Linked DNA regions of Macaca mulatta. The protein of the gene in region 1 binds, or shares a complex with, the protein of each later gene. Links are inferred from orthologs where the notes say so. Each region holds a gene or a part of one and is shown on either strand. Other genes may lie near its edges.

Evidence for each region.
Region 2: the proteins of NELFE (region 1) and NCBP1 are in contact, whole or in part, in a crystal structure (PDB 5OOB), measured with the Homo sapiens proteins. The link is inferred for Macaca mulatta from reciprocal best matches to the Homo sapiens genes NELFE and NCBP1. Residues at the interface, in NP_002895.3 of Homo sapiens: Arg362, Ile365, Val366, Tyr367, Ser368, Asp370, Val371, Tyr372, Gly379, Phe380; in NP_002477.1 of Homo sapiens: Tyr461, Lys511, Lys557, Ser558, Ser560, His561, Ser564, Lys568, Ile609, Arg610, Gln612, Cys616, Lys647, Met648, His651, Glu705.
Region 3: the proteins of NELFE (region 1) and NCBP2 are in contact, whole or in part, in a crystal structure (PDB 5OOB), measured with the Homo sapiens proteins. The link is inferred for Macaca mulatta from reciprocal best matches to the Homo sapiens genes NELFE and NCBP2. Residues at the interface, in NP_002895.3 of Homo sapiens: Lys361, Arg362, Gln364, Ile365, Val366, Tyr367, Asp369, Tyr372; in NP_031388.2 of Homo sapiens: Phe49, Tyr50, Thr51, Thr52, Glu53, Gln55, Lys68, Ile69, Ile70, Met71, Leu73, Lys77, Lys78, Thr79, Ala80, Asp107, Glu121, Gln124.

The regions. Positions count from the first base shown.
Region 1 is NC_133409.1:150,354,470-150,362,366, forward strand, and holds the end of NELFE (negative elongation factor E), read left to right. Parts: intron 1-931; coding exon 932-1,001; intron 1,002-1,103; coding exon 1,104-1,249; intron 1,250-2,346; coding exon 2,347-2,421; intron 2,422-2,543; coding exon 2,544-2,581; intron 2,582-2,747; coding exon 2,748-3,091; intron 3,092-3,203; coding exon 3,204-3,348; intron 3,349-3,511; coding exon 3,512-3,566; intron 3,567-3,810; coding exon 3,811-3,913; intron 3,914-5,233; coding exon 5,234-5,331; 3' UTR 5,332-5,546; downstream 5,547-7,897. Other genes in the region: CFB (complement factor B), read right to left, coding at 5,602-5,757, 6,027-6,076, 6,158-6,290, 6,389-6,489, 6,688-6,764, 6,862-7,012, 7,210-7,345, 7,484-7,581. UniProt on the Homo sapiens protein: Essential component of the NELF complex, a complex that negatively regulates the elongation of transcription by RNA polymerase II.
Region 2 is NC_133420.1:60,742,869-60,750,179, reverse strand, and holds part of NCBP1 (nuclear cap-binding protein subunit 1), read left to right. Parts: intron 1-228; coding exon 229-339; intron 340-1,317; coding exon 1,318-1,382; intron 1,383-2,139; coding exon 2,140-2,202; intron 2,203-2,448; coding exon 2,449-2,523; intron 2,524-5,059; coding exon 5,060-5,163; intron 5,164-7,311. UniProt on the Homo sapiens protein: Component of the cap-binding complex (CBC), which binds cotranscriptionally to the 5'-cap of pre-mRNAs and is involved in various processes such as pre-mRNA splicing, translation regulation, nonsense-mediated mRNA decay, RNA-mediated gene silencing (RNAi) by microRNAs (miRNAs) and mRNA export.
Region 3 is NC_133407.1:2,488,311-2,496,262, reverse strand, and holds the start of NCBP2 (nuclear cap-binding protein subunit 2), read left to right. Parts: upstream 1-3,918; 5' UTR 3,919-3,966; coding exon 3,967-4,044; exon of another isoform or gene 4,045-5,070; intron 5,071-6,250; exon of another isoform or gene 6,251-6,400; intron 6,401-6,993; coding exon 6,994-7,175; exon of another isoform or gene 7,176-7,214; intron 7,215-7,952. Other genes in the region: PIGZ (GPI alpha-1,2-mannosyltransferase 4), read left to right, coding at 1-273; protein NCBP2AS2, read right to left, coding at 3,451-3,750. UniProt on the Homo sapiens protein: Component of the cap-binding complex (CBC), which binds co-transcriptionally to the 5' cap of pre-mRNAs and is involved in various processes such as pre-mRNA splicing, translation regulation, nonsense-mediated mRNA decay, RNA-mediated gene silencing (RNAi) by microRNAs (miRNAs) and mRNA export.

The DNA.
Region 1 (7,897 bases):
TTTCTTTTGAAGCAATTTTTCCTGTTTATTCTTCATTGTGTATTCCCCCGAGCAGGGCTTTATTGACATTTACATGAGCGATTGTAATGGTCTCTCAACAAATTTCTCAGTCTTTTTTTTTTTTTTTAACAGACTTCTTCACTCTTGGTCAAACGATCCATTGAAAACACAAAATTCTGCTCCCTCTGTTTCTCAAAAACCATAAATGGCTTCACATTGTCTATATAACAAAGCCCCAAAACCTTAGTTTGGCAGCCTTGTCTAGTAAAGTAGAACTATTCACTACTCCCAAAACATGCATTCCCAAAGCGTTCTTACCGCTGCATGTTTGCCATCCTGTCTTCTTTTTCTAAAATACCCTTCTTCTCTCTGTGTCGTGCAGAGATACGGGGGAGGGCCTAGTTTAATAGCCATTAAACATCAGAAAATCTTACTAGCTTTCAGCTATGAATAATCTGCACCTCTTACCGCGTTGCTAACTCACTCAGTTTATTTTTATTTCTCAGACTATAAGCTTCTTGAGGGTAGAAACAATGCTTTATCCTCCTGGATATCCCTGTTACAAAGTCATGTCTGGGCCTTATTCAATATGCAGGAAATAGATGGATGAAGCCTCCAGGAAAGGCACATAGACTTATACTTACTTGCAGCTTATATCCTAGGATTCTAGTCCATGATCAAATTCTTTGTCTTCAACCTCAAAAATGTAACACTCTGGAAAACCTCTGGGTTCCGTGGTTTGGTTAGATTAGGAATTTCCGGCATCATTCATGATCTAGGGGACCAGAGGCAAGAGGCAGAGCACATCAATGCACCACTCTAAAGACATCAAGAAAGATGGTCCCTGGAGTGATGTGCCCAGGGGTCTTGGGAGAGGAACCGGCTAGGGGCTGGCCCTCACTGACCTCTCTCCTCTCACCCTTGTTCCCAGAAAAAGGCATTGCTGGCTCTGAAGAAGCAAAGTAGCAGCAGCACAACCAGCCAAGGCGGTGTCAAACGCTGTGAGTGACAGGGGAAATGGGGATGGACTGGAAGTGGGCAGCATGGGGCTGACCTTCATCATGGCCTGGTCAACATAATGCCTCTTCCCCTTATCACTCCAGCACTATCAGAGCAGCCTGTCGTGGACACAGCCACAGCAACAGAGCAGGCAAAGCAGCTGGTGAAATCAGGAGCCATCAGTGCCATCAAGGCTGAGACCAAGAACTCAGGCTTCAAGCGTTCTCGAACCCTTGAGGGGAAGTTAAAGGTGAGCACAAACAGAAGGATTGTTTAGAGGGCATCCCTCCAAGTTGGAATGTAGATGGGTTTGGGGAAAAATATGCATACTCGAGCACTGGCAAATTGCTGTACCATTCTGAGTTTTGCCTCTCAAATATTAAATGAAAAAACTAGATGACTCCTGAATTCTCCATTTTACAAATTTTGTAGTTCTAATCCACTTTGGATTGGAGCTCTTGGAATATGTCGCTCTAAGGGATGGAAAGGGCAGAAAATGTTATCAGATTCAAGAGAGGTTGAAATAAACTGAACATATAACATATCAAGTCACTTATAAAAAGTATCAGCCAGGCGTGGTGGCTCATGCCTATAATCCCAGCACTTTGGGAGGCCAAGGTGGGCAGATCACTTGAGGTTAGGAGTTTGAGACCAACCTGGCCAACATGGTGAAACCCGTCTCTACTAAACATAACAAAAATTCGCAGGGCATGGTGATGCACGCCTATAGTCCCAGTTACTGAGGAGTCTGAGGCCAGAGAATTGCTTGAACCCAGGAGGCACAGGTTGCAGTGAGTGGAGATCGCACCACTGTACTCCACCCTGGGCGACAGAGCAAGACTCTATCTCAAAACAAAACCAAAAAGCTGCAATGGCAGGTGTGGCAGTGGCTCATTCCTATAATTAGAGCACTTTAGGAGGCCAAGGTAGGAGGATTGCTTGAGCCCAGGAATTTGAGACCAGCCCTGGCAACATAGTGAAACCCTATCTCTACAAAAAAAAAAAAACAAAAACAAAACAGAAATTAGCCAAGCATGGTAGAGCGCATCTCTAGTCTCAGCTACTAGGGAGGCTAAGGTAGGAGGATTGCTTGAGCCTGGGAGGTCAAGGCTGCAGCAAGCTATGATTGCACCATTGCACTCCAACCTGGACAACAGAGCAAGACCCTGTCTCAAAAAATAAAAACAAATAAATAAAACCACATAGTCAAATAAGAAATGTATATAGTGTTAAAAGGAAAGAAGAGATCAGAGGAGATCTAGAAGAGGGTGAGGGAAGAGGAACATCTCTGTTCCATGGTTGGGCAGCCTCCTGCTCCACACTGAGGTAGGTCTCTCCCCTCTCCAGGACCCCGAGAAGGGACCAGTCCCCACTTTCCAGCCGTTCCAGAGGAGCATATCTGCTGATGATGACCTGCAAGAGGTAAAGGCTTCTAATTTCTGTCCCTGAGGGGTTGGGGATGGAGGAACATGAGAAACTAACTTATTTTGGACTACATGTTAGCAACTGGGAATCATCTTAACTGTTCTTGGTCTCTTTTACAGTCATCTAGACGTCCCCAGAGGAAATCTCTGTATGAGAGGTTAGAGAGTAGAGATAAGACTGGGCCCACTTGGCGGGGTTGATTGCCTGAGTCCTTGGGAGGTTTGGGCTGTAGAAGCTGTGCTATTGAGGGAATATTGAGTCTCCACAGGGTCCAAGGGGAGAAGGTAAAACCCCCCTTTGATCTTCAGTCTGCATCTCCCCAGCTTTGTGTCTTCTAGTGATCGACTTCGAGAACTAGGGCCAGATGGAGAAGAGGCAGAGGGCCCAGGGGCTGGTGATGGTCCCCCTCGAAGCTTTGACTGGGGCTATGAAGAACGCAGTGGTGCCCACTCCTCAGCCTCCCCTCCCCGAAGCCGCAGCCGGGACCGCAGCCATGAGAGGAACCGGGACAGAGACCGAGATCGGGAGCGGGATCGAGACAGAGACCGAGAGCGGGACAGGGATCGGGATCGGGATCGGGATCGAGATCGAGATCGAGATCGAGACCGGGAACGGGACAGGGATCGGGAGCGGGATCGAGACCGAGACCGAGAGGGTCCTTTCCGCAGTGAGTGATCTTGGCTGGAGGTCAAGGTGACCTTAACTGAGGTTTATGTGGGTCCTACTAAGTGAAGTGTGGGATGGACCATGTCTTGTGACTGTGATTCCTGCTCCCAAAGGGTCGGACTCCTTCCCTGAACGGCGAGCCCCTAGGAAAGGGAATACTCTCTATGTATACGGAGAAGACATGACGCCTACCCTTCTCCGTGGGGCCTTCTCTCCTTTTGGAAACATCATTGACCTCTCCATGGACCCACCCAGAAAGTAAGGATGACGACAGGGCATGATGAGAAGTCCTGGGCGAATCCTGGGGTGTGAGACTTGAGGGAGGAAGCTGCCCTCCCGGCAGCCGCCTGTGATCGCTGGGTTTGGTTGGGTCCAGAAGAGCCCCTTGGCTCTCCACTGACCCTGTTTTTTCTTATCCCAGCTGTGCCTTCGTCACCTATGAAAAGATGGAGTCAGCAGATCAGGCCGTTGCTGAGGTTGGAACTTCGCAAATCTGTTCTTCCCATCGCCTCTGCTGTTCTCATGTGTTCTCATCAAAATACTAGATGCCAGGAAGAAGTTGGTTCCTCTTGATAAAGTCTCTCCCTATTCACACAGAAAAACTTACATTCTCAGATTCCTTATTCAGTCTACTCCTAGGATAGCAACTCCTGGAATAGCTTCTTTGGTGTATCTGTAATGTTTTCCTCCCCATCCTCTGCCTCCCCTCTTCTGCTTTAGCTCAACGGGACCCAGGTGGAGTCTGTACAGCTCAAAGTCAACATAGCCCGGAAACAGCCCATGCTGGATGCCGCTACTGGCAAGTCTGTCTGGGGCTCCCTCGGTAAGAATGGGATTTTCTTTCCCGTCCTCTCCCCTACAGCACACTCCTTTTGGTTCCCCCACACATCCTTGGGTTTCCTAGAGATTATCGAGGTCAGAGTGTGTGCAGAGGCTGTGGGAATGGGAAGGAAAATTTCAGATCATCTGTTAGTTAGAGGTAAAGAAAGGAGAGAAAAGGATTGAGAACAGCTTCCAAAGCAGCGACTGGAACAGGGAAGAAAATGGGAGCTGGAGTGAGATTGGTGAGAAAGATGAGTGTCTCATGGGGCTTGTTCATTTTGAGATGGAGTAGAGTGAATTTCGTAAGTATTTGAAATTAGGGGTCTGGAACTCAGGTGTGAGGTAAGGAATGAAAACATAGATTAAGTCATCTGCATCACAGGGTGGCTCCCCGATCATGAGGGAGACTGATTTCGGAGAAAAAAAACGACCCAGGACTAGACTTGAGGAATACTCAGGGACTATGTTAGGAAACAGGACTGTCCACCTTACGCCCCACGTGTCTCCAGCTCTCCTGACACGTTAGGCTAACGTTGAGCCTAACGTTAGCAAAGGAGACAGGAGGAGGGGTCAGAGGGCTGGGAGCAGCACCAGAGGGGCCTGGGCCACTGAAGCGAAAGGACACATGCTTTGAGAAAGAGGGAGTAGCCAGCAGTGTCAAGGTACAGAGATCACAGGATGAGAAGTGGGTGGGAGAGATTCTCTCTAGGTCAAGGGTGGTGGGGATGGAATCTTTGGATGGGGTGAAGAGAGTAACATGTCTGGTGGAGGGAGGAAAAGAGGAAGGGGAAGAAACAGCTAGAGGCTTGAGAGAGAATGGTGAGGGCCAAAGCTACATGCTGGATGAGTTCTGGTGGAGCTAGTAGCATTCCTTAGTATGAGTAACCCATTTACCTGAAAGTAGATTTTCCTGGGAAGGGAGTGAGCAGAAAGAAGGACTCAGAGCAACAGTGGCCTTTCAGGCAAAAGAAAGGAACTAGAGTTGACCAGCATGTCAATAAAGGGCTACAGAGGTTTTCTAGTTTTTAGCTTCTGACATACTGACTATAAGTAGTGGGTTAATATCATTCATATATCTCAACAATGACATTTGGGATTTTTCTAAGAACAAAACATTCATCAAAATGTCCACTTACACTCTCCTTGGCCATGGGTTGGCACAAAGGAGCTAAGGAAGACAGGCCATCCTGGCCACCAGAGGGCAGCGTGGAAACTGGGTTTCCAGGGGCCAGCAGCCAGGACTGAGGTGGTCAGGAGTCAGCCTCAGGGTCTGATCTATGATCTCCTTTAGACCTTAACTGTTCCTCTTCTCCCTCCCTAGCTGTCCAGAACAGCCCTAAGGGTTGCCACCGGGACAAGAGGACCCAGATTGTCTACAGTGATGACGTCTACAAGGAAAACCTTGTGGATGGCTTCTAGGGAACAGAGCTGGATTCCTTGTGCCTCAAATGCCCCAATGCTGGTCTCAGTAAAACACTGAGGTGGAAGCTTACATATCTCCCTCAGCCTCTGGTTTTTCAGCACTTGGGATTGGGGTTAAGCCTTTAAAAATGGGTGTCAGGTTTGATCTCAGTGTAACAACATGGCCAGTGCCCGTTCCCCACTCCCTTGCCCCAAAAGGATCTGGAACACAAGTGTTGTCGCAGCTGTTTTAATTCAATCCCGCGCCCCTGTCCAGCAGGAAACCCCTTAGAGAAAACCCAAATCCTCATCTTGGAGTTTCTCCTTCAGCCAGGGCAGCACTTGGAAGAGGTTGACGTGAAAGTCTCGGGCGTGAGCAGGTACCTGCTTTTGCCGCTTCTGGTTTTTGCAGACATCCACTACTCCCCAGCTGATGACACCAACCTGCAGAGGCAGTGGGGTGCCATGGATCATTCATAGAATTCCTAATCCTGGAAGCATGACTGTTCCTGATTGTGTCTTAGCTGACCTAAAGGAATCAGGCTAGGGACCCAGCTCAGCCTCATTCTTGACACACACAGGCCAGACATGCAGTCCTAAAGTGAGGCAGGCTCTGCCCACCTCGAATTACTAGCCACATGCATTGTGCTTTCCTGCTTTGGGGCCCATGCTGACCACTTGGCATCTCCCCAGATAGGAAAGGGAGGACTCACTTGAATAAAACGACTTCTCTTGTGAACTATCAAGGGGCCGCCAGAATCACCTGCAAGGAGAGGAGAAGCTGTAGGGAAAAGGACTCTTGGCCCTCGGGCACTTGGAGCACAACCAGAGAGCGTTCTCTCACCTCTGCAAGTATTGGGGTCAGCATAGGGACTCACTCCTCCAGTACAAAGGAACCGAGGGGTGACCACCTCCGAGATGTCCTTGACTTTGTCATAGCCTGGGGCATATTGAGCATCTCTCTCACAGCTGCCTTTCTGTAGGGGAGGTGGGAAGCATGGAGAAAGGTAATGAACAGAGGTGGCTTAGGAAGGATTAGGGCCTAGAGTGCCTCCTTAGGATGCCCATTTCTCACCTTATCCCCATTCTTGATGTAGACCTCCTTCCGAGTCAGCTTCTTCTCCTCCTCAGACACAAACAGAGCTTTGATATCCTGTGCAGGGAGCAGCTCTTCCTCTGGACAAATAGACTGCATCACTTCAGCTGCTCCCACCACTGTCATCTCCCTATTGACTTTGTCACTCAGCAGATGTCCCCTAAGCCCTTCCTAGTGCTAGGTTCTGGGCCAGGCATCGTCTCTTCCTATTGCATCTCCCTCTCATGCCTCACTTGTCTCGGGATCTCATCCTTATCCTCCCCCCTAGTATGTCTTACTCTGTTGCTGGCAAGTGGTAGTTGGAGGAAGCCTCAAAGCTCGAGTTGTTCCCTCGGTGCAGGGGAGACAAATGGGCCTATAAAGGATGGAGAAAGAACAGCAAACTAGGCCTGCTCCTCACCCCAGTCCTCCAGCCTTTCCCAGCCTTTCCTCAGGGATCTGGATGCTCTCACCTGATAGTCGGGTCATAATTCAACTTATTCTTGAGCTTGATCAGGGCAACGTCATAGTCATAAAATTCAGGAATTCCTGCTTCTTTTTTCCCGCTAATGTTGTAGTCGGGGTGAAATAGGACTTTTTCTATCTCCAGGTCCCGCTTCTTCCCTTGAAGTAGGAGAATAGGTACCACCTCTTTGTGGGCAGCTTCTTGCCTCTGGCCCCATGTCATTCCTAACTTCAAGTCTTCCCCATCCCTGACTGGTCTGGGGTGCAAGGGATGGGGCTGCATTGCAGATGAGTGGAGTGTGGGATCTGTAGAAAGTGGGAGGTGTTGCCTGGAGGGCGTAGGTGCAGCCCGGGACCTTCAGTTGCATCCTTACCCACGCTGACCTTGATTGAGTGTTCCTTGTCGTCCACAGTAAAACAATGTGCTGCTGTCAGCACAAAGTACTCAGACACCACAGCCCCCATACAGCTCTCATGTCCCTTCGAAGGGCGCTGGGAACAGAACAGTAGAAAGGGAAAACTCAACTTTCACAAACCACCATCTCTTACGGCCATTTTGCCCTTCCCCTACTCCCATTTCACCTTGACCTCACCTCCCCCAAGTCCTCACTACTGGGATTCTGTGCTTACAGTGACTGAGATCTTGGCCTGCCATGGTTGCTTGTGGTAATCGGTACCCTCGCTGTGTTCCCAAACCATGCCACAGAGACTCAGAGACTGGCTTTCATCTGGCAGAGAAGGAGAATGTGCTGAAAACTTGGAACACTTCATTCCCAAACGGCAGCAGCCTTTGGGTAGAAGTCTGTGGGGGGCAGAGGCCCAAAAGGAGAAAGGGAAAGGCCACAGGTATTTGTTTCCTCGTGTTAGGAGAAAACTGCTGTGGTGGAGTGAAAAGGGAAAGAACTTGGGATCAAGCTATCAGAGGCCTGGCTGTTTTCAAGCCCAGCCCTGTTGCTAGCTTGCTGCCCCTTGACCTCCTTTGGCCTTTGTTTCCACATGTGTCAAATGTAGGACAATAGAAAGATCTCTGAAGTGCCTAGAGCT
Region 2 (7,311 bases), on another chromosome or scaffold:
TAGGAGGTCAAGGTCAAGGCTGCAGTGAGCTGAAATTGTGCCTCTGCACTCCAGCCTGGGCGACAGAGCGAGACTCCGTCTCAAAAAAAAAAAAAAAAAAAAAAAAGTAATTCCATTTTCATTATGAATGCCATGGAGTTAGAGCTCAGATTTAGAATGTTAAGGTCTTTCTAATAGAAGTGCAAAGATAGCAGTTGGATTGAATTATGACTCATGATACTTTTGTAGGTGATCTTTGCAGAGCTGTTTCAACTTCCAGCACCCCCTCACATTGATGTGATGTACACAACACTCCTCATTGAACTGTGCAAACTTCAACCTGGCTCTCTACCCCAAGTTGTATCCTTTCCTTTGTTTTTAAACTTAATCTCTTTGGCCGGGTCTTAAAAGATTATTAAATATTTCTGCTTTGGGGTTTAAATTTTGTAGGTAAAAAATGTGGCTTTTGAAGTGTGTTATGTGTGTGTGTATTACATGTATGTATTTTTATGTCTGTAAATACATATGTACCTATAAATATGTAGATACATGCTTCACTGTTTGGGTCAGAAAGTTCAAAAATAGACAACAATGAAATTTGTTGCCTAGATTGACTTTTCCTCTCACAAAAGATTTCTCTGAAGCATGTGATGCTTGCTGTTTGATACAGCATTTTTCCCACAGTAGAACTACTTTCAGAGTTGGAATTAATCTTCTCAGACCCTGCCACTGATTTATTAGCTAGGTTTCTATGATATTCTAAATCCTTTGTTGTCATTCAGCAATGTTCCAAGGAGTGGATTCCATCTCAAAAAACCACTGTCTTTGCTCATCCATTGAAAGCAGCTTTTTATTTTTTAAAGTTTTATTATGGGATTGCAGCAATTAATAATAATGGAAAAGCTTGCTTTATTGTAAGAATTACCAGTATGTGACACAGACATGAAGCAAGCATATGCCATTGGAAAAATGGTGCCAGTAGACTTGCTTGTTGCAGGGTTGCCACAAACCTTGTTTGTTTAAAAAAAAAAAAAATGCAATTTCTGCTAAGCACAATGAAACAATGTATGCCTGTGCGTATGGAGGAGCATGGGGAAATTTGGGATCCGGTGAAAATATTATCTTGATTTCACGAGTGTGTAGAGGTCAGATTAATTATACATCACTGATATTTCAAAGCTGTAAAAAAAAAAAATCAAAAACAAGATCGATTGTATGAAAAGATGTTCAACATTATTAATCATTATAAAGACTTGAAATGTTTTATTTCTATTCTTGTCTATTACAACTTATTTGGGGTAAAAGTGGAGAATAGTTTTCCTTATCCTAAATTCACAGCTTGCACAGGCAACTGAAATGCTATACATGCGTTTGGACACAATGAACACTACCTGTGTAGACAGGTACAGTAATTGCTTTACTGCTGAGCTGAGTTAGCAGCTTTTACTTCCTGTACTTCATAAAGGAATTTGATCAAGACATTTTTAAGAATTTCCATGTTTAGTTTTTTTTCTTGCCTCCCAAAATAACCTTTGTACAATAACCAGACTCATACTTGTTTAATGTAACATTACGTTTTTTGATGTCCATGCTATGGTTTTCTTTAATTTCATTCTCTAGTCAGGTATCAAAGACTATACTTTGGCTCTGCCATTTATAAAATGTTCTATCTGCAATTTCTTTTTTTTATTTGAGATAGGGTCTTGCTCTGTCAGTCACGCAGGCTGGAGTGCAGTGGGATGAGCATAACTCATTATAACCTTGAACTTGTGGGCTCAAGCAATCCGCCTGCCTTAGCCTCCATCCTTGGTAGCTGGGATTACAGGCATGAGCCACTGTACCTGGCCTACAATTTCATCTTTTTTTTCTCTTCAGTTTCATCATCGTTTATATGAGGAAAATAATACGTACCTTGGAAGTTGTGAGAATTAAATAATAAACACGTTAGGTGCCCACACAAAACAGATACTAGAATTGTATCTGTCATTGACCTAAAAAGGATAAAGACAGTTTGCAGAAGATACAGCTGCATGTAGGGGAATATGCTTTTCATTAACTCTGTAAAATCGGGTTTTATCTGTTTGAAGGCTTATATAAGTTTCTGTTCTAAATCCCAGCCATTCTTCCTTTTTCTCTCCCCACCACCCCTTGTCTACATAGGTTTATCAATTGGTTTTCTCATCATCTGAGTAACTTCCAGTTCCGTTGGAGCTGGGAAGATTGGTAAGTGATGGTGTGTTTTATCCTACTTTTCTGTAGTCAAAAAACTGCTAATTTTTAAAACTGTAACATAAAAGTGACTGAAATATTTAATTTCTTGGAAACTATTTGTAGTTAAGTACAAATAGTTACAAGTGCAATTGTAACTTAAAACTTGTAAGTTGTTATAAGTTCACAGATAATTGTAGTACAAATGAGTGTAAGTGCAGATGATACATAAGAATTGATAAAACTACATTTCCTCCTTAGGTCAGATTGTCTTAGTCAAGATCCTGAAAGTCCCAAACCAAAGTTTGTAAGAGAAGTTCTAGAAAAATGTATGAGGTAAGTTTTTTGTGTCTTCTCCTTTGTTTAGGTCTTTTAACTTCTTTGGGAGGATTTCTTTCTCTTCTCTGCACTTGTGATATGTGTTCAGAATATTGGATTCAAAATCTACTTACTCATCTTCCATCCCATTTTTAATCAAGATTTAGGCTAAAAAAATTAGGCAACCATGCCATACAGATCCCATGTGAATTTAAGCTGGTAAGTTCTTTTAAAGATGTTACAGGCTGGGTGCAGTGGCTCACCCCTCTAATCCAGCACTTTGGGAGGCCAAGGCAGGTGGATCGCATGATGTCGGAGTTCAGACCAGCATGGCCAACATGAGGAAACCCTGTCTCTACTAAAAATATAAAAATTAGGCGTGGTGGCACACACCTGTAATCCCAGCTACTTGGGAGGCTGAGGCAGGAGAGTCGCTTGAGCCAAGATTGCGCCTTTGCACTGCAGCCTGGCCGACAGAGTGATACTCTCATCTCAAAAAAATAAAATTAAAAAAAAAGATGTTATATATGAAATGAATTCAGATTTATAGAAAAGTTGGCACAACAGTACCAAGAATTCTGTATCCTGTTCACCTAGATTCCGTAGCTATTAACATTTTATCATGTTTGCTCTCATGCTCACTCCCTTTTCCTCTCTCTCTAGAGACCCGTTATGTTGGTTTTCCTTTGAGAATCAGCTGCATACCCAGCTGATGTAACAGCCCATTATCCTTTAATGTTCCATTACATATCTTCCCAAAACAAAACCACTCTCCTACCTAGCAAGCATACAGCCTTCTAGATCAGGAAATTAGCTCTGGTACAATCCTACCACAGAATTCACAGGTGCTGCTGAAATTTTGCCAGCCATCCCAACGTCTGTATTTCCTGTCTAGTCTATAATTTTTTTTTTTTTTTTTTTTTTGGAGACAGAGTCTCACTCTGTCACCCAGGCTGGAGTGCAGTGGCGCGCGATCTCCACTCACTGCAAGCTCCGCCTCCCATGTTCACGCCATTCTCCTGCCTCAGCCTCCCAAGTAGCTGGGACTAAAGGCGCCCGCCACCATGCCTGGTTAATTTTTTGTAGTTTTAGTAGAGATGGAGTTTCACTGTGTTAGCCAGGATGGTCTCAATCTCCTGACCTCGTGATCCACCCGCCCGAGCCTCCCAAAGTGCTGGGATTACAGGTGTGAGCCACTGCGCCCGGCCTGGTCTGGAATCTTATCCAGGTATATGTGTAGTGTTGAGTTGTCATTCTCTCAGATTCCTTCAGTCTTGAACACTTATTATTTTTCTCTCTTTGTGTTTATACCAGTTTGAAAGAGTCTAGACCTTACTTGGATTGCTCTGATATTTCTCATGAGCAAATTGAGGTCTTAAATTGTTAATGCTCTTGGTGTGTCACATCTAGAGGCACATGATTCCCACCCCTGGTGATGTTAATCTTGATCCACCTGGTCATGTCAATATCTGCCAGCTTTCTCTACCTTAACCTCACCATTTTTCTCTTTAGTAGAATTGATCAGTATTTTGTGGGAGATATTTTGAAGTTTTACTCTTACTCTGTTCTTCATCAGATCTCCATCCTGCTTTTAGCAGCTACCAGTAAGATGGTTGCCAAGTGATGATTTTCTCATTCCATTATTTTTTCTGCATTTATTAATGGGCCTTCTGTAAGAGCTGTCCTTTCTCCCCCATTTATTTATTCCTTTATTTATATATCAGTGGGGACTAATTAATTTATATTTCATTCGCTGGGTTATAAACTATGAGGATCATTTATTTTGATGCCCAAATTGTCCCTGATATGTACATGAGGAGTCCCGGTAAGCTCTCTCTGTTTTTTGTTTGTTTTTGTCTTTGTTTTTAATGTCCCCCGCCATTCATTGAGCATTTCCTTATTTTCTAGAACAACATGTTTAGGATCATCTTGCGTATTTCTCCTAAATACCATATTCCGTTAGTAAAGGACTAATTAGTAAAGGACTAATGGAATACGGTATTTAGGAGCCAAGATCTGGGCACTTGATATGCTCATTGCCATTGGGGTGTCATTGGTTCTAAGCCTCTTGGTGGACACACATCCATCCATCCATAACTATTTTTATGTCCACCTGTGTGTATATATGCCTCAATTTCCAACTCAATACCTTATTTCTACACTTCTTCTCTACCATGGTTTGTAAATACCTTCTCAGGCAGTAAGAAACTTGGCTCCCATTATCCTCAATATTTATTTATTTGATACAATGTAGCCAGTCTCCAAAGTGTACGGACTGTCATCTTCACCACACCCCATCATCACCCCACATCCTTGGCCACCAGGCTCATGAGCTCACTCACCCATACCTCAGTTGCAAGCCAGTAAGTTCCGCAGTATGCCTGAGATTTGGTGTGCTGCCTTAGACAAAAACTCAAAGGATTTTTTTTCCTTTCACTCTTGGTTGTCAGCTGAGTTCAAGTTGTTGGAGATTGTGACTTTCTAGGTAAGTTGGGTGTTACCAAAGAATGGGACTGATAAAAGATATTTTCTGAGGCTGTTATTTGTATTGTAGGTTGTCTTACCATCAGCGTATATTAGATATTGTTCCTCCTACCTTCTCAGCTCTATGTCCTGCAAACCCAACCTGCATTTACAAGTATGGAGATGAAAGTAGCAGTAAGTAACGAAACAAATCCCTCTGTCTTTAAAAGGTACCAGTTCAAATATATTTAAATTAGTTGTTTAAAGTGGAGAAATTGAACTTTTTCTTTTCTTGGGGTTTATATTTCCTGTATTCGAAGGGTAGTCTAGCATTAGCCACTGTTTTATTTGCCCTGTCATCATTTTGAGGATTTGGTTGTGATAAAATTAATTACTACTGGCTTATCTTTTCTTTCTCTTTTGAATGTGTTAAGTATAGCAAGATGAATTTATAGTTAGATCTTACTAAACTGCAAATGCGTATTTGTCATGGTGATGGAGATTACTTGAATTAATTATCTTTTTCAGGTGTGGTATTGAGAACATAGATGTACATATTCTGTGGCAGTATGCCTTTAAAAGTAAATTCTTAATTATTATTTTCTTACCTTTTGGTCACATAATCTCTGAAATTGCACCATAAATCAGGGAGTGTAATTTGATGTGCCATTTTGCCCTTTGCACAGTATTTACACTTAATGTAGGTAGAGTATTATACATTGTTGATCACTGGTGGAGTTAGGTGTGGAGTTTTTTCCAACTTATCCTTTGCAGATTACACTTAACACAGCCCCTCCATGATCCTTCCATTTCATGTTGTGTAGAGGTTCTTTGCATCTCACAACTATCTGCTGTTCCTTGCTTTTCATACCATACGCCTGTTTCTCCACCTCTGTCTGTGATTGTACCTGTTTCCTTTGAAATAAACTGTGTTGGTCCTGGTACATTTCCTATTTAATTATGTCAACTCTGAAAAATAGATATGATTATCAAAACTACAATGAGGAAATGGCTTCCAAGAGGTCAAACTAGAATGAGATTGCTTCTGAGTGGTGGAGCCCAAATTCAGGCGTAGGTGCACTGCTGAGTGGCCATGCCTTAGCCACTGTGCTTTCTGGCAGATCAAAGGTTCATGCAGCACTTAGAAGTGCCAGGTTTTGAGTTTTGTCTTGTACTCGTTCCGAGAATGATAAAGTACAGTCTTTGCTGTCAGAAAGCTCAGACTTTTGTTGAAGATTAAGCTTTCTTTTTCCCCATAGGAATAACTCAGCCTAACATTTCAAGGCCTTCATAACCATTGTTCCTACTTTGTTATTTTTCACTTCTCCCGACATGGGCCTCTACTTCTCCCAGGTCCATGTCCTTTTTTATTTTTTCCATACTGTTTGTTCTTGGCTTTGCTATTACCCCAGTCTGGAAAGTCCTTTCTAGCTCCACTTGCTTTTCTCCTTCTAGATTCTAGCCCAAGCTCAATAGCTGTAAATACTTTTTAACCTTTAGTAAGCCAGTTTTGTATTGCTCCCTGGCTGTGTCTAATGTGAATATCTTGGTTCTCCAGCTGGAATGTAGACTGGTGACAGGGGATTCTGTTTTTCTTCGCCTTCTTTCTTTTAGAGAAAAAGCTCACAGCAGGTGTAATATGACCATCCTCACGTGACTGTTGTAATTTACTTCATTCATTCCAGTAACTCGTACTCCATGACAGGATTGCCTTTTTTGTTACCTCTTTGTCTACCTTACATTAAAAGCAGATTTCTTGTTGCTCTGGTGATGCCTTACGGTGTATATTAGCACAAATTTTTATAATAAGGACTTAACTGATACCAATAGTAAATACAAGGAGTCCTATCACATGAGCATCTGACTTACATAGATTCAAGCTTGTGGATTCAGCAAAAAAAGAAAAGTACAAAAACAAAAACCTCTCTAAACTTGGCAGCCATTACCTTGTTGAGGCTGAGACTTCGTTTCCATGGTCCCAAGGAAAGAAAGAGGAAATGGGTGTTGGCAAAATGAAAGAGAAGTACGTTGGTTCTGGGCTTTTGAGCCCGGGAGAGTTGAGGGCATTAAAAGACAGTTTAACTGTGTCCACTCTTCTCCTTACCATTCATCTTGAGGATGATCAGCACCTTGTACTCTAAATTTTACTTAGCTAAGTGTCCTTAAGGAATTGTTGAAATGAGAATTGTCCCTTTTTAGGTGAAAAACCATTAACCTATTAGAAAAAGCTTCCACATGTGGTACTTTTATACAGATTAAATATTGACCTTGGGATAAAGAGCATCCTATTTTGAAAGGAAGAATTTAAAAAATTTTTTCTCAGTTATTTAACTATTCGTTAGA
Region 3 (7,952 bases), on another chromosome or scaffold:
ACTGAGGACTGGGTCCTGTGCCAAGCCCTGAAAAGCTTTACCAGACAACCAGCCTGCCAAGTGGCTGGTGGGCCATGGCTCTGCCGCGTCTTTGTGGTGACCCCTGGCACCACCAGGGGTGCCGTGGAGAAGTGCAGCTTCCCCTTCAAGAATGAAACACTTGTATTTCCCCATCTAACCCTGGAGGATCCACCAGCCCTGTCCTCCTTGCTGAGTGGGGCTTGGAGGGACCACCTCAGTCTTCACATCGTGGAGCTGGGGGAAGAAACCTGACAATATGACAGGGCACCCACCGCCCACGATTCAGCCATAGAAGTTGCTGCCCCACCTTCTACTTGGGTAGCTGGGCTGGGACGCGGGGACAGGGCCCAGGTTCTCCTTCACGACTCCCACTGCTGCCTCTCCTGGGCACGGCTGTTCTGCCTTCTGGGTGAGCTGGCACCCCTCTCCCTGAGACCAAAGATCTGACCTGTCAGTCCTGATGTCAAGGTCCCCAAAGAACCAGGTGTAAGTGATGACACCTGTCGGTTCCTGCCCTACTGCTTCCAGCCACTGTGATGTTTGAAACATGTAATAGTACCTGGTTGGGAAAAAGAATGAACTGCCAGTGACATTCCCCAGCGACCTCTCCCAAACTTCCCATGATGCCTTGCCCTTGCTGTCATGACAACCTCTGGCTTCCTGAGACCGATCTGCCTATCCAAATAATGTGGAAGTCAGTGTGATGAAGTATAGAGAACAGGTGGCCCAGATCCAGGGGACCCAACTTCTAGCCCCTTGGTCTGTCACCCCCTCGCTGTGTGATCTTGAGAAAGCCCCTTCCACTCTCCCACCCCACTTCCCAGTCTGTTGGGATCAGAGGATCTTTGAGGTGTCTGCCAGCTAACATCGTGTCATTCCTGGAATCCACAGTACACGTCCCCCGTCCTCGACAGGCACAGCTCTCACAAAGCTCTTTAAGCATGGAAGTGGGAGTTGTGTCGTACTTCATGGCCCTCTGATGCCTGCTGTCTCAGTGTTTGCAAACAAGTAATGTTTGAAATATATAATTGCACCTGGAGATTTTCTCCCTACTTTCTTTTACTCCTGTTCCTGAGAGGTGGTGGGAAACTCTCCAGCCATTTCTGCACCTTGTCCTTAAGAGTCATTCTCCTGACTGGGCGTGGTGGCTCACACCTGTAATCCCAGTACTTTGAGAGGCCAAGGCGGGCAGATCTCGAGGTCAGGAGTTGAGACCAGCCTGGCCAACATGGTGAAACCCTGTCTCTACTAAAAATACAAAAATTAGCTGGGTGTGGTGGCGGCGCCTGTGGTCCCAGCTGCTCAGGAGGCTGAGGCAGGAGAATGGCTTGAACCCAGGAGGCGGAGGTTGCAGTGAGCCGAGATCGCGCCACTCACTCCCGCCTGGGAGACACAGCGAGACGGTCTTGGGGGGAAAAAAAAAAAGTCATTCTCCCAGATTAGGGAGCCAGATGTTCTCCCTCCTTAGAAGAACTGTGGGTCTCAAGCCCTCCCATCCTGCCCCAGAGAGCAGGGAACACACCATGCTCAGCTAGTGTCTGGTTACCAGCCTCAATTTTTCCGATGGCTTCAAGCTTCTAGATTGCATGATTATCTGTGTTGCCTAATTAGAAATGATCAGATCTGGGTGTGGTGGCTCACACCAGTAATCCCAGCACTTTGGGAGGCAGAAGCAGGAGAACTGCTTGAGACCAGGAGTTCAGGACCAGCCTGGGAAACAAAATGCAATGCCATTTCAACCATAAAACACAAAACAAAACAAAATTGTGGCTGGGCACGGTGGCTCATGCCTGTAATCCCAGCACTTTGGGAGGCTGAGGCAGGCAGATCACAAGGTCAGGAGATCAAGACCATCCTGACCAACATGGTGAAACTCCATTTCTACTAAAATACAAAAAACTAGCCAGGCATGGTGGCGCACATCTGTAATCCCAGCTGCTCGGGAGGATGAGGCAGGGGAATCACTTGAACCCGGGAGGTGGACGTTGCAGTGAGCCGAGATCACGCCACTGCACTCCAGCCTGGTGACAAAGTAAGACTCTGTCTCAAAAACAAAAACAAAAAAACCTGTTTTTAATTAGCTGCGCATAGTGTCATGGGCCTGTAATCCCAGCTACTTGGGAGACCCAGGGAGGAAGCTCGATCACTTGGCCCAATAGGTCGAGGTTGCAGTGACAGCTAGTATCATGCCACTGCACTCCAGCCTGGGCAAGAGTGAGGCCCTGTCTCAAAATAATAAATAAATAAATCAGAAATTTAGCTAGGAGCTTCAAATGACAAGACATTTGTATATACAGTGGATTTCCTAATCATGGGTCCACTAACTTGCTGGACCATAGTCTTAGTTTCGTATGCCTGACCCTCTAAAATGAGGGATGAGTCCAGGTAGCTCATTCCATGGCAGGCAGCAGTCTTTTTTTATTTTTGAGACAGGTTCTCGCTATGCTGCCCAGGCTGGTCTCATCTCAGGCTCATGCGATCCTCCTTCCTCTGCAGTGGCTTGGATTAGACACAACTGCCACCACGCCTGCTCCTAGGCAGTAGTCTTAATGCCTGATGATGGGGGGTTGGGGAAGGAAGGAAAGTATCAGGGTAAATCTTGCAGAGCTGTGTTAAGGACTTAGGCCCTGGAATCAAATGCCTCTGCTCACATCCCACTCTGCAAGACTTTGGGCAACTTAAGCAGCAGCCTCTGTTTCCATCGGAGTGGCTCTTGCCTCTAATCCCAGCATTTTGGGAGGCTGAGGCAGGACGATCACTCGGACCCAAGAGTTCGAGACTACCCCATCTCTACAAAAAAATCCAAAAAGTAATCTGCTTGCTCATGCGGATGTGGTTGTAAGGAGTAAGCGAAATAACACGCAGAGTGCAATGAGCAAGTCCCAGCACAAAATACTCATTTCATAAAATACGTGTTTATTATTGCCATAGGCCTACAGTCCCCGGTATTCTCAATATATCTTGCCTGAGAAGTATCACACTCATGCCTATTAACCAGCTCATACATTTTTTTAATCAAAAGAATTTGGCAGTTGTAGGGTTGTCTTTTCATTCACATCGTCCCTGGAATTAAGTGTCCTGCTACACCAGTGCAGATTCAGCAGCATCTGTCAAGAGTGTCAGTTCCATCTGCAGAGGAAAGGCTCTCTGGCTTCGGTCCGTGGCTCTCCGCGGGTGCGGTGTCTGGACCCAGCCTATCTTCATCTCTGTTAGGCTTCGGGGTCTTTCTCCACACGGTGTCTTGTCCAATCAAAGGACTTCAGCGGAGCCTGCGGTCTGGCCTAGGCTCTTCTGCGTGGGATGTCTGCAGGCCAACAATCCGAGTCGGGGTTCGAAGCCGCGCGCAGTGCCCGGAACGACCCCTCCACGTCGAGGCCAGTGTAGAGCCCGGAAGGCAAAGTAAAGGCCTCGGCCCCGCACAGCCCAGGCTTAAATGTTTGCGCCAGGGCCCCTCTGGCTACCTGGTGGTGGCCCCGAACGGCCACGGAGGCCGCGGCGTAGCTCCTGGGTGAAGGTGTCTCTGAATCGCCCAGCGCGGCGGCACAGGGAGCCTGCGGGGCCAGCCGCGAGGTCCTGCAGGCGGCGGGCCGCGTCCTGGCCCCGCAGCTGGGCCTGCAGCAGAGCGAAGGCCGTGAGCTGCGCCGCACGTCGGATAGGCCGAGACTCGGACAGGCGTTCCACCAGCTGCGGGCTGTGCAGCAGGGCCGCCAGCAGCCGCCGAAGCACCATCTTCCCCAAGCGCCCGGGAATCCGACCTCGCCGCCCTAGTCTTCCGCCCGGCGGCGCCCGACCCGGACGTCATCTGCGCCCGCGCAGCTTGATGACGACACTGCCGCCCTCGGATTGGGTCCAATGAGATGCGCGCTTCCGCGCGTTTCCGCTTCCGCCACGGCAGACGCCACCTCGTGCCGGGAATCGCCGCGTCCTCGTCCGCTTCTCTGCGCTATGTCGGGTGGCCTCCTGAAGGCGCTGCGCAGCGACTCCTACGTGGAGCTGAGCCAGTACCGGGACCAGCACTTCCGGGTGAGGGAGGCCGGGCCGCGAGAGGGGAAGGCCCTGGGCCAGAACGCTGAGAAACGGTTTGCTCTTGTCTCATTGTGTCGCCTCCCGTTCTGCTGCAATCCCCAAACGCCAAGTGGGGCCCCGGTGCCGGCTGGGGAGGCAGGGAGCGGGTGCTGGGGGGGCGCTTGGACATCACTGAAGCCGCTGGCTCTGGAAGACAGGGCATTTGAGGCTCGCTTTCCTGTTCCCTCCAGCCGCTCCCTGCACCCGAGCCGGTGCCGAGAGGCCTGAGCGCTGATGGTAGTGGCGGCTCCCGTTTCCAGGTTGTACCTCGCAGATGGCTGCGTAACAAGGGCGGGGTGCCCTTCTCTCTCCCAGAGTGTGCAGAGGCGCCTTCTTGATGCAGATTCGGGGCTTTTTACGTTCTTTTTTATTTTTTTTATTTATTTTATTTATTTTTTTTTTTTTTGAGACGGAGTCTCGCTCTGTAGCCCAGGCTGGAGTGCAGTGGCCGGGTCTCAGCTCACTGCAAGCTCCGCCTCCCGGGTTTATGCCATTCTCCTGCCTCAGCCTCCCGAGTAGCTGGGACTACAGGCGCCCACCACCTCGCCCGGCTAGTTTTTCTGTATTTCTTAGTAGAGACGGGGTTTCACTGTGTTAGCCAGGATGGTCTCCATCTCCTGACCTCGTGATCCGCCCATCTCGGCCTCCCAAAGTGCTGGGATTACAGGTGTGAGCCACCGCGCCCGGCCTACGTTCTTTTTTAAATCGGCGAAGCAGTGCCCTTCTCTGGGAGGATGGTCTTAGGGAAGCTGTACGCGGTGCGTGGGAGACACAAGTGAAGTCCTCACTCCGCCCTCGGGGAGGCTTCGGAGTGGGGAGGGGGACCCGCCAAGCTGGGCACTTTGAGGGTGTTTGGATGTGAAGATCGGAGAATTGCTGGATTTCAGAAGAGAGAAATTTTTAGTCCGGACTATATCACAGTATGTTTTGTGGAAAAAGGGGAGGCCGCAGATATACAAAGTAGGCTTTTCAGTATCAGCAAAGGTAGGGATGGAATACGGTTGAGGGGTGGCGGCGCGGGACTCATTAACCCGGTTATTTAGTAAACATTTGTTGAGTGCTGTCACCAAAGCCTTGTGCTAAACCCTGGGGGGAAGGGAAGACAGTTTCTGTACTCTGCGAGCTCATAATCCCCTGTAGTGTGGATTATCAAAGAATCTAAGGTGGAAGTGAGTTAAAAGAGAGGCTGTGAGAATTCAGAAAAAGGGGAGAAATCCCCTTGTGACTGGGAAATGAGGGGGCGCATATAGCAGAGGTCAGTGTGGAGAACGTGTGAAATATGTTACTAGAGTAGGGAAAAGGAAACTTTGACGCCAAATTAGGGAAGCTCTGAAATTTATTCAGTCGAGGCCGGGCACGGTGACTCATGCCTGTAATCCCAGCACTTTGGGAGGCTGAGGCGGGTGGATCACGAGGTTAGGAGATCGAGACCAGACTGGCCGAGATGGTGAAACCCCATCCCTACTAAAAATACAAAAATTAGCCGGGCGTGGTGGCGGCGCCTGTAATCCCAGCTACTCGGAAGGCTGAGGCAGGAGAATTGCTTGATCCCGGAAGGTGGAGGTTGCGGTGAGCCAAGATCGCGCCACCGCACTCCAGCCTGGGCAACAGAGCGAGATTCCTACTTAAAAAAAAAAAAAAAAAAAAAATTCGGTCAATTTATTTTATTTTTTGAGACAGAATCTCGCTCTATTGCCTAGGCTGAAGTGCAGTGGCGCAATCACGGCTCATGCAGCCTCAACCTCCTGAGCCCAAGTGATCCTCCCCACCTCAGCCTCCTGAGAAGCTGGGACCACAGGCTCTCACACTACATCCGGCTAATTTTTTGTAGAGACAGGGTCTCCCTGAGTTGCTCAGGCCGGTCTCAAACTCTGGGACTCAAGCGATCCACCAGCCTGGGCTTCCCAAAGTGCTGGGATTACAGACGTGAACCACTGACCCCGGCCAGTCCAGGTTTTAGATGCTTAAGTGCCAGGCATGATTTGCACTTTTTTTGAGACGGGGTCTGGCTCTGTCACCCAGGCTGGAGTGCAGTAGCACGATCTCGGCTCACTGCAAGCTCCGCCTCCCGGGTTCACGCCATTCTCCTGGCGAGCTGGGACTACAGGCCCCGCCACCACGCCCGGCTAATATTTTTGTTTTTGTTTTTGTTTTTGTTTTTTAGTAGAGACGGGGTTTCACCGTGTTAGCCAGGATGGTCTCGATCTCCTGACCTCGTGATCCGCTCGCCTCGGCCTCCCAAAGTGCTGGGATTACAGGCGTGAGCCGCTGTGCGCGACCCTGATGAGCCATTTTGGATCCAGGGATTTGTCAGGTGTGTTGGATGAAGCCCAGTTATATTCTTATTTCTGGCTTCATCGTGTCATCCCAGTTTGGAAGCCCATTAGGAAAGTGAGCTCTGTTTTGTTTTTAGTGATCACTACATTTTTTTCCTCAATTCAGAAAAAATACATGAGCATGTAAAGCATCAGAGTTGTTGCTTTAAACAGTCTCTATGGGGTTATTAAAAGGGGACTCTCTGGAAATCCACTTATTTCTCACTACAGAGTATAAAAGGGCCCTTTGTCATACATGGGTCAAGGTCCAGAGTTTAACCTTGGTTGAAAGGATGCACTGCTGAGAAGATGGCGTGTGCAGGGAAAAAAGCCGCTTGTGTGGCAGTCTGGCGTAGGGTGACTTTGCTGTATGCGGTATAACTTTTGAGCCTTGTCTCTACTAAGAGTCTGGACTTTGCATAAGTGCTTCACAGGATGTGAACATCTCCCTTTTTTTGAGCAAGGGATTTGTGGTAGGCTGGGATGAGAGAATTTGATTTCCAAATCAGAATTAATGAATGTTTCTACCATACTTAGAAATACTATTTAAGCAAGGCTCTGAAGTTGCTTTTGTCTCTCTTTGAAATTCTAGGGTGACAATGAAGAACAAGAAAAATTACTGAAGAAAAGCTGTACGTTATATGTTGGAAATCTTTCTTTTTACACAACCGAAGAACAAATCTACGAACTCTTCAGCAAAAGTGGTGACATAAAGAAAATCATTATGGGTCTGGATAAAATGAAGAAAACAGCATGTGGATTCTGTTTTGTGGAGTATCCTTCCTGTGGATGGAATGTGGCTGCTGAACTGGGGTAGAGCTGAGAATAGTAGCTCATAATCCTCCCTGCACTTGCCCCTACGTTTTCCCTCGTCTCCCTCCTACCTTCTGTCCAGTGTCACTGCTCTTTTTTTTTTTTGAGACAGAGTCTGGCTCTGTCGCCCAGGCTGGAGCGCAGTGGCCGGATCTGAGCTCACTGCAAGCTCCGCCTCCCGAGCTTACACCATTCTCCTGCCTCAGCCTCCGGAGTAGCTAGGACTGCAGGCGCCCGCCACGTCGCCCGGCTAGTTTTTGTATTTTTTTTTTTTTTTAGTAGAGACGGGGTTTCAACGTGTTAGCCAGGATGGTCTCGATCTCCTGACCTCATGATCCGCCCATCTCGGCCTCCCAAAGTGCTGGGATTACAGGCTTGAGCCACCGCGCCCGGCCGTCACTGCTCTTATACTATAAAGCTGACACTAGTTACATTCTCTCCTGAAATCCATGCTTTATGGTTGTTTAAGAAAAAGTTTTTCAGGCCGGGCGCGGTGGCTCAAGCCTGTAATCCCAGCACTTTGGGAGGCCGAGACGGGCGGATCACGAGGTCAGGAGATCGAGACCATCCTGGCTAACACGGCGAAACCCCGTCTCTACTAAAAAATACAAAAAAAACTAGCCGGGTGAGGTGGCGGGCGCCTGTAGTCCCAGCTACTCGGGAGGCTGAGGCAGGAGAATGGCGTGAACCCGGGAGGCGGAGCTTGCAGTGAGCTGAGATCTGGCCACTGCACTCCAG